3 linked regions of the Arabidopsis thaliana genome follow. The protein of the gene in region 1 interacts with the protein of each later gene in a pairwise test. Each region holds a gene or a part of one and is shown in the gene's direction. Other genes may lie near its edges.

Region 1 (4,157 bases):
AAAATTACTCGAAACTTCTTGAACTAAAAATAATATAAATTTTTTGTTTAGACTAAAATGATCATTTTTTACGATAAAGATACATGTCGAGTAATTATTAAGAGTATCCAAATTATCCGTTTGAATTGTTAAAATATTTAAAATTATTATAATTTTCCGGCTACTAAAAATTCTCTAACACTTCACAAGATTATTAAAAAAAACTCTCTCTCTCTATTTGTACTTAAAATAACCCAAATTTGACCCATTCTCATTTGGATAGCGATTTTTAAATTATTGAATTTATCTACCATATCATATCTTATCAGTTGTTTCCAAAACTTAGAAGTGAAATTAAATTGGTTATTTATTTTTGTTTGTAACATAACTAAATCAACCATCAAGTCAATCTCGAACAAACAATTGTTATCATCCATTATCCAATATTAATTACTTTTTTGTTTTGTTTTGTTACAAGTGAATACTATTCACATGATTTATAAATTAGTATTATTATTCACTCCACAACATTTTGTATCAGATTAGGTTTCAAGTTTATAGTTACACAAAAAATGGATTCCGAAATCTTTTAGATTAAAAAAAAAAAGGATCAAAAGTTCAAGGTACACAATCTTTTTATAAAACTGCCGACATGATGCCATATCGCTCATGATTGCATTTATTTTTTTGCATTAGCTCACAAGAATGTTAAAAATTAACGATAAGAAAATCCATTTAATTAGGGGGTACGAGTACGAAAATAATTAAAACAAATATTAGCGTTTGGTGGTGCATAACTCAGCATAAGTCATAAAATAAATTGTTGTCACGATATGTGAAGAAAATCTCGTTGCGATGAGACGAACGACATAAAGAAAATCTTGCGTATCTGACAAGTGGACTAATCCACTTATTTTCAATGTCAGTCTCAAAATGGGAGTTATTAAAATTAATGTTCGTTCTTTTTATTTTATACACACATTTATTTTATATATATATTTATATTATATACAGTAAAACCTCTATAAATTAATAACATTAAAACCATAATATTTTTAATTTATAGTACTATTAATTTAAATGTCTTTGGGTATTTTAGTTGGCAAAACTCAACTAATTACAGGTAACTTTCTTTTGTGATGTCGACAAAAGAATTCTGAATAATTTTTAAGGGTTTCGATTTTTGCCATTTCACGTAAAACACGTGATACTGGGCTACTGGCATTTACGGCAGAGTAACTGGTGGCAAATATTATTACCAATATACTATAAACAAATAAATAAAAAGAACAAACACTAGTATTAAATTTTGATTGTTTTATAACTCAATTAAGTTTTGATGTCAAAGTCTACTTACCAATCAATTACCTCACTGATTTGTCTCCTTTTCAATCTTTTCGATTGTTTTATGGAAACAGCTTTCTAAAAAAGATTAATTTTCACGTAATCACAAAACAAATGTTCACATTAGCCCAAATCTAATAACCACATTAGGTTGGTCCCAAAAATTTAAAAACAAAAAAAAACTTTTTTAGACAGAGAGACCAACTTCAATACATTTAGTTTCATGTATTTTAAATAAGATTAGTATCTTCGTGTTAATTTCCAAATTCAAGCTTATAGTAAGTTAGTAATAATGTATATAATGACGTGGCAAAGGATAAATGTCTCTTTAAATGCACGTAGCAGCCGGAGGAGTGACCCACCTACCTAGTGTTAAATTCTCCTGCCGGAGTTTGGTCCCCACGCGACCTTCTTCTTCACCGGAGTAATAACGCGCGTGAGCTCCACCGCGTCGGGACAAAACTAATGTCCTCTCAAAAAAGCAAAAAAAAAAAGAGAAAAAAAACCAGAGATGGTGAGCTGTGTGAAAAGGACCCCACCACACCCATGTGCTTCTCCTTCCTGTCTCCACCAGCTCCCTCCTTCTCAATCATTAGCTTCTTCTCTTCTCTTCTCTCACAGAGAGAGTAATCACAAGCCAAGTGAGAAAAAGAAAACACTAAACCCAGATCGAAAACCATGTCTATTAACAACAACAACAACAACAACAACAATAACAACGATGGTCTTATGATCTCATCAAACGGAGCTTTAATCGAACAACAACCATCAGTCGTTGTGAAGAAACCACCGGCGAAAGATCGACATAGCAAAGTCGATGGAAGAGGGAGAAGAATCCGTATGCCGATTATATGTGCTGCTCGTGTTTTTCAGCTAACGAGAGAGCTTGGTCATAAGTCAGATGGCCAAACAATTGAATGGTTACTTCGTCAAGCAGAGCCTTCTATTATAGCTGCAACAGGAACTGGTACAACTCCAGCGAGTTTCTCAACTGCTTCTGTCTCTATCCGTGGAGCCACCAATTCTACTTCTTTAGATCATAAACCCACTTCTTTACTTGGTGGTACGTCACCGTTTATACTTGGGAAACGTGTTAGAGCTGATGAGGATAGTAATAATAGTCATAATCATAGTTCTGTTGGTAAAGATGAGACCTTTACGACAACACCAGCTGGGTTTTGGGCTGTTCCGGCGAGGCCGGATTTTGGACAAGTTTGGAGTTTTGCTGGAGCTCCACAAGAGATGTTTTTACAACAACAACATCATCATCAGCAACCATTGTTTGTTCATCAGCAACAGCAACAACAAGCTGCAATGGGTGAAGCTTCTGCTGCTAGAGTTGGGAATTATCTTCCGGGTCATCTTAATTTGCTTGCTTCTTTATCCGGTGGATCTCCCGGGTCGGATCGAAGAGAGGAAGATCCACGTTAATGGTTTAAGCCCTTTTAGGTTTGAGGGCAAAATTTGGTATATATATTTATTATCTTCTCTTCTCTATTGTTGTCATTGTTTCTCTATGTGTGTGTTTTAGTGTTGTTAGAGATTGATTTGGTTTCAGAATCTCTGCAAGTGATTTGAGAGTTTTCGTTAGCTTTAAGTAAGTTAAAGACGGTTGTTTTTGATTAGGGTTAAATTAGGGTTTAAGAATCTGTTGTTTTTTTGGAGGGAGATCGATTTCTTATCGGATCCAAGATTACTTTTAGGAAAAAAGGGAAAATTTCAGAAACCACGGTGGTTTCTTTTCCTCTTTTTTTTTTTGTGTCTGTTTTTTTTTTCCGGTGAAACAGAGCCGTCGATTAAAATTTCAGATATATATTTAAATGTTTTAATATGGTTTGTTGTTGTTGTTGCTAATTGTGTAATGTGTTACAACAATTGTGGTGAAGCATTTGCGTAAGCTGTTAACCACGTTTATTTCTAATAAATGTTTCGAATTCATATTGTTCCTTCCTTCTCTGCATTTATTGATACACAAAAAGCTTTATGTGATAGTGATTGTTTCGTTGAAATCGAACCGGATGATGGATTTTTGAACAGAATCATAATAATCTCTTATTTTTTTAGTGGATATATGTATGAATTGTGGATTTTGAGATGCTATTTATTTTTGGCGTTTCGCGTCTTGATTTAATGCAAGAACTGAACAGAGGATTTAGTAAGAAAAAGAGACAAACCAGTTGTGTCTGAATTCTTCAATTTTGTTGCCTTTTTGTTTCATATGAATCTTTGTACTGTGCTTTTGGAAGTTTGGTTTGTCACGTTAGTCAGAGAAATATTAAATTTAAGTACTGTTAAAACTATATGGCGACATGATATCTTTAAATTAATTGTCTATATTTTTGTTCTAGAAACTGTTACAATTTGAAAGATTAAAGGTGTTAGAATTGTCTCTTCTCTTGTTTGAGATTAGCTATCTAAAAAAATGTGGGTGATACACTCGAACATGAGTTCAAATGGTTGTTTTAATTTTGGCAAAAACCATTTTCACTGTTGTAATAATTTGGACTATCAAAAAAGTAAATTTTATTTTAACCCCTGATATAGTATAATTTCTTATGCAAAGTATATTTAAGGTACAAATAGCATAGATTCAATGATTTCGTTTGTGGTTTTCACAGCTATATATCTGCTGAGTAATGTATTTAACCAATAATTTATTTATCACGATAATACCTGATGAATAAATGTCAAAGTGATTAGATAGGCTTCTTTAGACTATTTAGGTCACACTAACCAATCAAAAGAATCAAACAAATTTTCTCATTAAAATAAGAATCCATTAATGGAAAGATCTTAACAAAAAGTTGGTGTTTTTTCTTTCTTAATTAGGTCTT
Region 2 (7,178 bases), on another chromosome or scaffold:
CTTAGGGTTTATCTTTCTATCTACGTTTATGGATTTTTAGTCTTTTGGATTCTCGTGTGAGAATTAGCTATAACAAGATTAAGATAAGTTGTCTAACAAACCTTTTGGTCGATGGTTGTAATGAACTTTTAGGATTTTGTAAATGTGCTTCTTTTTTTAATGTCTCTCTACTCAAAACTCATGACCAGAGTTATTACAAAACAAAGAAACACACAATAGAATGGATTCACAAACATATTCAACAAGAGTTCTAAATAGCTTATATGGTGATAGGTTCAACCTCATTAAACAAAATGGATTCTGAAATGATGTTTGTAAATTGTATATTTATTGTTTATGATAATTACGTGCAGTTTGAGTTATTCTGGTGACACTAGTTCCTCTTTCTCAAGTACCAAATGCAACCAAAATAAAACATATACATTTAGTTACAATCTTTCACAGAAGTTATTATGTCTATAATAAAAAAATTAAGAGATTCTGCATCTTGAAACTGCAAAGTAGGTGAGGAAATAAAAAGAAACATAAATTGTGTTTATGAGCATGCTTGTTGTTAGAGTCCCAATATGTAGTAGAGTAGCTTGCAAGAAATCAGAGTTAATTATGCGTTTAAGAGCATGCTTGTGTGTGTAAGTGTTTCAAGTAAAACTATAATAAGTATGTGTGTTTGTATCTTGTAAGAGAATCACCCAAGTTTTATTATCAAGACATCATGCTCTTAAACGTGTTCTTGTTTCTCTCTAAAGAAAACAAAAGCAAAACAGAGTGACAAGAGAGTGAGAGTGCTGACCTCAAAAGAATGTTGGAAGAGGTAGTTTGAGAGTGAAAGTGTGATTTTCAACAGATATCTTCCTCACGTAGAAGAAGTTGAATGGTTAATATCAATATTGTTATGTATAACCAAGAAAGCTATAGAATTGCACTATGATATTGTGAAGCTGCAGAAAAATAAACAACAGTAAAGTACATACTTGAACAAGAAAATGAACTTTGTTAGTCCGCGTACTTGTCTTAACTCTTATGCAGGGGTAGCCAAGCAATATGAAACATTTAGTGTGGCCCATTTTTTTTTTTTCAAATTCTTTAACAAAAATTATTTACAAAATGGCCCCAATTTTATTGATTTTAACGATAATTGGCCCTAAATTTTAAAACCTTTCAAAATAATCTTGGATTTTTTGTTTTTTTGTATGTTGCCCATAAAACCGTCAGGTCTTAGGTAAAACATCTATAAATTAATATTCAATAAATTAATAAACTTTATAAATTAATAAATTCATTCAATCCCGAGTTGAAACCAGTGTAAGAATTGATACAAATCGATAAATTAATAAAATAATAACTTTTTGTGAAAATCATATGTAAATATTTGGTCCCATCAATATTATAAATTCACTAATTTATATATATATATATATAGATATATACTAAAATATGAATATAGTATTCAATTTGTATTAATTCTTTGTAGAATTTAATTCTAATATTTTTACTAAATCGAAAAATTTAGTTTTGGTTTTTAAACTTGATAATTGTTTAATAATTGTAATTGGTTTCAAAAATATTATTGATTATAAGAAAAGAAAAAAAATACCTTTTTTGATTGAATATTATAAGAAATTACATAATTTGTAAAATTTCTTTATAAATTAATATCTCTTCAAATTAATAAATTTTATCAATCTTAAAATTATTAATTTATAGAGATTTTACCTAATATGCATTTTTAACTAAAAGTCATAATGTTATATATTTTATTTATATTTAGAGAATAATATATATATTAAAAAAAAAAAAAAAAAAGGTTGACAAGTGGAAATATGTGACCGGCAATAGTAAGTTAAGTTGACCAAAACCAAAACCAATAAAATCAAAATCGAGAGACTCTTTCTTCCCCCAAGCGAAGAAGCGATGATCAAAATTTTACAACGGTTCCTCCATTTTCAGCGAAGGTAAGTCTCACCTAATTCCTTGGAACTAAGCTCCGCTGTGATCCGAATGTACTTATATATCTCTCTCTTCTGATCAATTCGCAAACCGCCATTGTTGCTTTTTTGAAATTTCGCTTCTGATGAAGAAATGTTGATCGGAGAAAACGTTGAAGACGTTTGAATTTCTTTATGAATTAGTCAGTTGTGGTGTTAGTTAGTTACGATGGAGAATTATGGTTGGAATTACCCTTATTACCCTTACAGGCCTCCGCGGCCTAATCCTCCTTACCCAGCACCGCCTCATCACCATGGATCAATGTCTCATTCGGGTCCATTAGACCACCACCACCCTCCAATGAGTTACTATGCTTCTTTTGATTACCAACACCAACCTCCTCCTCCTTACCCTCCAGTGAGTTACTATGCTTCGTTTTCAAGTCATTCAGATTTATCATACTCAGGCAGGCTAGATTCGTCTGGTCATGGTTTTACATCTACCGCATCGCCGCATAGTCCCGGTATGCACATTGTGCCCTTTGGTAAAGCCTCCTTGAAGGTCCTCTTGTTGCATGGTAATTTGGATATTTGGGTTTCTTGTGCTAATAATCTACCAAACTTAGATTTGTTTCATAAGACATTGGGTGTTGTGTTTGGTGGCATGACCAATATGATCGAAGGCCAGTTGAGCAAGAAGATCACTAGTGATCCTTACGTGTCCATATCAGTCGCTGGTGCTGTCATAGGAAGAACATATGTCATTAGCAACAGCGAAAATCCTGTCTGGCAGCAGCATTTTTATGTCCCTGTAGCTCATCACGCTGCCGAGGTCCATTTTGTTGTTAAGGACAGTGATGCCGTCGGTTCACAGCTTATAGGAATTGTTACAATCCCTGTTGAACAAATTTACTCAGGTGCAAGAATTGAAGGGACTTACTCCATTCGAGACAGCAATGGAAAGCCTTGTAAACCAGGGGCAACTCTATCATTGTCGATTCAGTATACTTCAATGAATAAACTCAGTGTTTATCACAGCGGAGTTGGTGCAGGTCCCTATTACCAGGGGGTGCCTGGAACATATTTTCCTCTTAGGGAAGGTGGAAGTGTCACATTGTACCAAGATGCACATGTACCTGAAGGGATGCTCCCGGGAATAAAACTCGGAAATGGAATGTGTTACGAACATGGAAAGTGTTGGCATGATATGTTTCATGCCATTTGTCAAGCTAGACGTTTGATTTATATTACAGGCTGGTCAGTGTGGCATAATGTCAGGCTTGTTCGGGATAAAGAAGATCCTTCTTCAGAATGTAGACTAGGTGAGCTCCTAAGATCAAAGTCCCAAGAAGGTGTGAGAGTCCTGCTTTTGGTTTGGGACGACCCAACTTCACAAAACATCTTGGGATACATGACCGTAAGTTACTGGAAACCTCAAGTCCCTACTTCTTTATTGGTTGTGAAGTGCATATGTTAGCTAGGCTATATAGGGTAGGAACCAGAACATCTTTTAGAGTCTCGGAAGTCAACAGCTTTGGCTTCTTCAAGTCGTATTGAGGTTCCTTCCGTTTATTTGTTAGCCTACTTTTCCTTGTAGACCAGAAATTTTTTGGTGGGTTTAATCTTCAGTTTGAATCTAGTAAGTATGAGAAATGTTTGCTTCACGCAGAAACCTGCAACTAGATAGAGATATATGTATCTTAGATGACATAGTTTAGATATGGTTATTCATGTATGTTTTAGGTATTGACACAATTTGTTCACATGAACAGGATGGGGTTATGGGAACCCATGACGAGGAGACACGCCGTTTTTTCAAGGACTCCTCAGTGCAAGTCTTGCTATGCCCTCGAAATGCTGGAAAGCGACATAGTTGGGTCAAACAGAGGGTAGAACATGAATTTTTGGTCTTTTTTTTGGTTGTGGTATCCGGCTTCTATTTATATTTTAGTCCATCAGGAAGTTGGAACCATCTATACACACCACCAAAAAAACTTAATAGTAGATGCCGATGCTGGGGGTAACAGAAGGAAAATCGTAGCTTTTGTGGGCGGGCTTGATCTATGTGATGGCCGATATGATACTCCTCAACATCCGTTGTTTAGGACACTGCAAACAGATCATAATGGTGACTATCACAACCCCACTTTCACGGTATGTCTGCTTGCCTTTCTAAATATATATTAGTGTAACTTTGGTGTCGAATACTTAAGGAATTTATAGCAAGGAATAACCTTTGGCAGTGGAAAAACATACTGCTTTTAACTTTATTAAGTGGTACTTCAATCTTTGTCTGTCTTCTCAAGTTCTTCTTGGTGATTACCTAAGTAATTCTTAGTTGCTAGTTTCTTTTGTTCTGAATGGGAAAGCCTTGACTTGGATTACTAAAATGTAATTAAGGGTAACGTGTCCGGTTGTCCAAGAGAACCTTGGCATGACTTGCACAGTAAGATTGATGGCCCAGCTGCGTATGATGTGCTGACAAATTTTGAGGAGAGGTGGCTGAAGGCTGCTAAGCCTCACAGAATCAATAAATTGAAGACGTCATATGATGATGCACTACTAAGGATCGACAGGATTCCAGATATATTAAGAGTTTTGGATGCTCCTACTGTTAGTGCAAACGACCCCGAGGCTTGGCATGTTCAGGTACGCACCATTGTATTAAAGTTTGGTTCTGATTAATTCACAAAGTCCATGGAAAGATGCCCATCTCTCAGTTGAACCATGCAAATTTTATACTTTGGTCCACAAATATTGTCCCAAATTTCTGAAGCTAATAATTGTCTGGTTTTGTAAATCAGATTTTCCGGTCAATCGATTCAAACTCTGTGAAAGGTTTTCCAAAGGATCCAAAATATGCTACAAGCAAGGTGAGGTGAAAAAATCAAAGAAACTTTGTGCTGTCATTATGATTTGGTTGGCTTGGAAATTGATGGATAGAGGGATTTTGTTTGGACAGAATTTGGTGTGCGGTAAGAATGTGCTCATTGACATGAGCATACACACCGCATATGTAAAGGCCATTCGTGCAGCTCAACACTTCATCTACATCGAGAACCAGTATTTCATTGGATCCTCCTACGACTGGAATGCTCACAAGGACATAGGTTTGTTTGTCTTTGTTTTTTCAAGTGAGCTCATGATTAGGAAAAACTCAAGATTACGATAATTTTCTCAAAATGTGTGTATATATACATGAATTAATACACAGAACAGAGACATTGTTTTTATCACTTTTCCAGTGCATTTAGCTGCGTCTGTGGTAACTCTTTTGCTTGTGGTTTTGACATTTCAGTTTCTTTGGTATTAAAATGTTGAGCACTATTCTCAGTATTTTTCTCAACTTAAGACAATGGTCTTGACAACCTTGGTCATTTCTTTAAGGTTGTTTATTCTATGTTGTGGTCATGTAGGTGCCAACAACCTGATTCCTATGGAAATTGCGTTGAAGATTGCTGATAAGATCAGAGCAAAGGAACGGTTTGCTGCATATATTGTCATTCCAATGTGGCCAGAAGGAGTTCCTACCGGCGCCGCTACACAAAGAATTCTATATTGGCAGGTAATTCTAGTGAAGTTGTGTCTTTGCAAACCGTTAACCTTCTCTGTCTTAGTCCATGTGACAATATTGATATCATGATCTTTCCCTTAATATTTCCTCAAAAATTGGTCAATGATCATTTAAGTAGACACTAGAAGATTGTGAAACTAAATGTCATAGTTATCGTCTTTGCAGCACAAGACGATGCAAATGATGTATGGAACTATCTACAATGCGTTAGTGGAGGCCGGGCTTGAAGATGAATACTCCCCACAAGACTATTTGAATTTCTTCTGTCTTGGAAACCGAGAAATGGTGAACGGAAATAATGAATCGGGTACAGGAAGTGCAAGCAACGAGAACACTCCTCAGGTAACAAAACCAAACTGCTTGACTTGCTAATGCGGTTTCTATCGTCATTGATTGATGAGTTTTGATTGAAACTGTATTATAGGGATTATGTCGAAAGAGCAGAAGATTTATGATATATGTTCATTCAAAAGGGATGGTTGTTGATGATGAGTATGTGGTAATTGGATCTGCAAACATAAACCAAAGATCAATGGAGGGGACAAGAGATACAGAGATTGCAATGGGAGCTTACCAGCCTCAACATACATGGGCACGACGACAGTCAGGTCCTCGGGGTCAGGTAATAGCACACAAAGATAGTACACACATGGTTTCATAGTCCTAGTCGTATCAATAATACTTGGTACATAATCTGCAGATCTACGGATATAGAATGTCGCTTTGGGCAGAACACATGGCACTGCTAGATGATTGCTTTGTGGAGCCAGAGAGTCTAGGGTGTGTAAGGAAAGTGAGAACAGTGGCGGAGGAGAACTGGGAACAGTTTAGGAGTGAGGAAGTGTCGGAGATGAGAGGACATCTGATGAAATATCCGGTGGAAGTTGATCGGAAAGGCAAAGTCCGACCACTTCCAGGAAGTGAGGAGTTCCCTGATGTCGGAGGAAACGTTGTTGGATCCTTTCTAGCCATACAGGAGAATCTCACTATCTAATCATAAGCAGAGTCGCATTTATTAAGAAGACCTTATATGTGTAAACAAACAACAATTGATCAGACTTTGTAAATAAACAAAGTTTGATGTTTCTCCTCAAGTTTGAATAACAAGTAAAAAGAAGCTACTTAATCCTAATTCTATTTAGAATAAGAAATCATGTACATGAAAAAGCTTTGGCCTGGCTATAAAATCCGAAATCCGAAAACCGATCCGGAACCGAACTTGAACCGAATAGTTACAAAATCCGAATGGATAATGAATTCTCCTATCCGAATTACTCGAACCGAATCCGATCCGAACCGAAATCCGAGAGGATATCCGAAAACTGAAAAATATATATATCCAAAAATATTATTTATATTTAGTTGTAATTTTATAATAAATAACAAAATATCCTAAATAATAAAGAAATTGGAAATCTTTTAGTTACATTTGTTAATAGTATACATACTTTTGCAAAATTTAACCAAATTTTAGTAAAGATTAAACCAATTTTTATTTAAGTTGAACAATTTTTAGCTCTTTAAAAACCGGTCCGAATCCGACACTTATCCGAACAAAAACCAAACCAAAGATTAGTAAAATCCGAACGGATAATAAATTTTCTATCCAAATTATCCGAATCCGAAAATATCCGATCCGAATTCGATCCGAAAATTCATAAAATCCGTACGGATAATAA
Region 3 (3,315 bases), 2.1 Mb from region 1:
GTGTTCTCTGCTAATCTTTGTGATTCACAGGAAGTCTCTGGTAGCTTCTTAAAGTACATCAAAGGTTTGAAGCATCTCAAGACTATATGGATTGATGGAGCTCATGTTTCTGATTCCTCTCTTGTAAGTTTAAGCTCTAGCTGTAGATCTTTAATGGAGATTGGACTGAGCAGATGTGTTGATGTGACGGATATTGGGATGATAAGTCTTGCACGCAACTGCTTAAACCTGAAAACATTAAATCTGGCGTGTTGCGGATTCGTGACGGATGTAGCCATCTCTGCTGTAGCTCAGTCTTGCCGGAATCTAGGGACTTTAAAGTTAGAGTCTTGTCATTTGATAACTGAGAAAGGTCTTCAATCGCTTGGATGTTACTCCATGCTTGTTCAAGAACTTGATCTTACTGACTGTTATGGTGTAAATGACAGAGGTAATAGAAAGATATATGTGAACTCAAACCTCCGTTTGTGTTTTAGATATTGTCATCTTTGGTATCTTACGGTTTTTTGTTCCGTTGGGACCGCAGGGCTAGAATATATCTCGAAGTGTTCGAATCTTCAAAGATTGAAACTTGGACTCTGCACAAATATCTCAGACAAAGGGATTTTCCATATTGGTTCCAAATGTTCGAAGCTTCTAGAACTTGATCTATACCGGTACACTTTCTTGGTGGATTCTTGATGAAAAATGTGCAAGACATGTTTCGTTTTCTTACTGATTTCTGGTTTTTGAGTGCAGCTGTGCCGGTTTTGGAGATGATGGTTTAGCAGCTTTATCTCGAGGTTGCAAGAGCTTGAACCGACTCATTCTATCATACTGCTGTGAACTAACTGACACCGGGGTTGAACAAATCCGGCAGCTAGAACTTCTAAGTCACCTCGAACTTCGAGGGCTAAAGAATATAACCGGTGTTGGTTTAGCAGCCATTGCGTCCGGCTGCAAGAAATTGGGTTACTTGGACGTTAAACTCTGCGAGAATATTGATGATTCGGGTTTTTGGGCGCTCGCTTACTTCTCGAAAAACCTACGACAGGTACAAAAAATAACATTTATAGATGGAGATCTGGAAGCATCTATTGGAAACATGTTTGATTCTTGTGTTGTGTGTTTTGTTTGGCAGATAAACTTGTGCAATTGCTCGGTGTCTGATACGGCTCTATGCATGTTGATGAGCAATCTGAGTCGGGTTCAAGACGTTGACTTAGTTCATCTGAGCCGTGTGACTGTAGAAGGGTTTGAGTTTGCTCTAAGAGCCTGTTGCAATAGGCTCAAGAAGCTTAAACTTCTCGCACCTCTCAGATTCTTGCTCTCATCGGAATTGCTCGAGACGCTTCATGCTCGTGGTTGCCGCATTAGATGGGACTGAAAACATAAAGAACAACGCGGTTTCTTGTGTTGGTTAGTTTATACTGTTGTAGGTTTTTGATGTTTATAATCTCAATGTTAAAAATCAGTGAAACTTTAGTAGCGGTTTGTTTTGGATCCATATAAATGAATCGGTTTAAGTGAATTGCTGCGGTAAAATATTTTGCTATAACCGGTAAAAAAGATCGGACAACGCTTAAGTAATGATTTCTAGTTAGAAAGTTGTTGATGTGTAATAGATCTATGTGATGAACTGATGATCATATGTTTTTGAAGTCTAACAGAAAGCTAAACCAATCAGATGCAACATGTAACTCCTTTGTGTTCGAGCAATGATATGAATTATGCTTTCACATTTAACATTTGAAAACATATTTTTTAACTAAATAATTCAAAATAAGTTTTGTACAGCAAAAAATTATCTTGCAATTTTATAGAGAAAATATAGTTTTGTATTTACTTTATTTCTTTTTTCTAACACTATTAATTGGTATAATATATACACTTTAAGTAAAAATAAATCACTTTCTTTTTTCTTCTTATAATAATAACCAAATAATGTTAGTCAAACAAATAATGTTAATATCATTAAATATTCTTAACAATATACTAAATGCGTTAAGATTCATTGTTGTAAAAGTTTACCTGCTTACTATCCCACCATATCTAATCTATGCTTAAGCTTTTCCTTTATATATGCAAATCTTCAAATAAAAAAATAACAAGCCTAGAACACTAGAAACTTCAAAAAAGAAAAAAATCTTATGGAGAACAACAACGGCAACAACCAGCTGCCACCGAAAGGTAACGAGCAACTGAAGAGTTTCTGGTCAAAAGAGATGGAAGGTAACTTAGATTTCAAAAATCACGACCTTCCTATAACTCGTATCAAGAAGATTATGAAGTATGATCCGGATGTGACTATGATAGCTAGTGAGGCTCCAATCCTCCTCTCGAAAGCATGTGAGATGTTTATCATGGATCTCACGATGCGTTCGTGGCTCCATGCTCAGGAAAGCAAACGAGTCACGCTACAGAAATCTAATGTCGATGCCGCAGTGGCTCAAACTGTTATCTTTGATTTCTTGCTTGATGATGACATTGAGGTAAAGAGAGAGTCTGTTGCCGCCGCTGCTGATCCTGTGGCCATGCCACCTATTGACGATGGAGAGCTGCCTCCAGGAATGGTAATTGGAACTCCTGTTTGTTGTAGTCTTGGAATCCACCAACCACAACCACAAATGCAGGCATGGCCTGGAGCTTGGACCTCGGTGTCTGGTGAGGAGGAAGAAGCGCGTGGGAAAAAAGGAGGTGACGACGGAAACTAATAAGTGGAATACGTTTTAGGGTATTTTCAAGGGAATATGTAGTAAATAGTCATGGATCTAATTTTTTTAAAGAAATAGCCATGAGATACAATGTTCTGTCGGAAACACATGTATTATTACATGTATAACCTTAGACATTGAGGGGACAATACACTATTTGGGAGCGTGATGATTCTCGGTTTGAAATTTGAAATATTCAGAAGCTAACATTATATTCATTCTCTCGCACCAAAAGTAATATATGAGAAAATAAAAATCTTGTTTTTTCTTCACACCGCAAAATATCCTCCCAAAATCTAGCGCCGTCGTTGGCGATTGCGTTCACCGTCGGTTACTCTCATCTTCTTCAATCAAGCCCAGAACTTGATTGTCTCCTTGAAACCTTCTTCTCGTTCTTGTCGCCGTTAGCAATCCAAGTATTAATTTCTGATCCTCCCCTTGCCGACGAATCTGGTAAGGTAAGCCATTGATTTTCGTTTATTTATTGCCGATCTTCTTCTATTTCTTCCTCTTTATACTTCAATTGCATAGAAATTAACGATTGTGGCCAGATCTAAAGTTTGGTTCTTTTTCCCCTCTATCTCTATCTTCTTCTATGTCTTCCCATGTATACTTACATAAG

Evidence for each region. The genes of interacting proteins can lie anywhere in the genome.
Region 2: the proteins of AT5G23280 (region 1) and PLDBETA2 interact in binary tests that used the Arabidopsis thaliana proteins (3 or more experiments, as listed by UniProt).
Region 3: the proteins of AT5G23280 (region 1) and NF-YC8 interact in binary tests that used the Arabidopsis thaliana proteins (3 or more experiments, as listed by UniProt).

What each region holds. Positions count from the first base shown.
Region 1 is NC_003076.8:7,841,016-7,845,172, forward strand, and holds AT5G23280 (TCP family transcription factor), read left to right. Parts: upstream 1-1,591; 5' UTR 1,592-2,001; coding exon 2,002-2,754; 3' UTR 2,755-3,634; downstream 3,635-4,157.
Region 2 is NC_003075.7:105,695-112,872, reverse strand, and holds PLDBETA2 (phospholipase D beta 2), read left to right. Parts: upstream 1-1,867; 5' UTR 1,868-2,154; coding exon 2,155-3,342; intron 3,343-3,697; coding exon 3,698-3,814; intron 3,815-3,884; coding exon 3,885-4,079; intron 4,080-4,325; coding exon 4,326-4,574; intron 4,575-4,729; coding exon 4,730-4,798; intron 4,799-4,887; coding exon 4,888-5,035; intron 5,036-5,341; coding exon 5,342-5,490; intron 5,491-5,664; coding exon 5,665-5,841; intron 5,842-5,923; coding exon 5,924-6,121; intron 6,122-6,199; coding exon 6,200-6,493; 3' UTR 6,494-6,623; downstream 6,624-7,178. UniProt on the Arabidopsis thaliana protein: Hydrolyzes glycerol-phospholipids at the terminal phosphodiesteric bond to generate phosphatidic acids (PA).
Region 3 is NC_003076.8:9,940,114-9,943,428, reverse strand, and holds NF-YC8 (nuclear factor Y, subunit C8), read left to right. Parts: upstream 1-1,981; 5' UTR 1,982-2,129; coding exon 2,130-2,693; 3' UTR 2,694-2,760; downstream 2,761-3,315. Other genes in the region: AT5G27920 (F-box family protein), read left to right, coding at 31-430, 527-656, 739-1,033, 1,121-1,366. UniProt on the Arabidopsis thaliana protein: Stimulates the transcription of various genes by recognizing and binding to a CCAAT motif in promoters.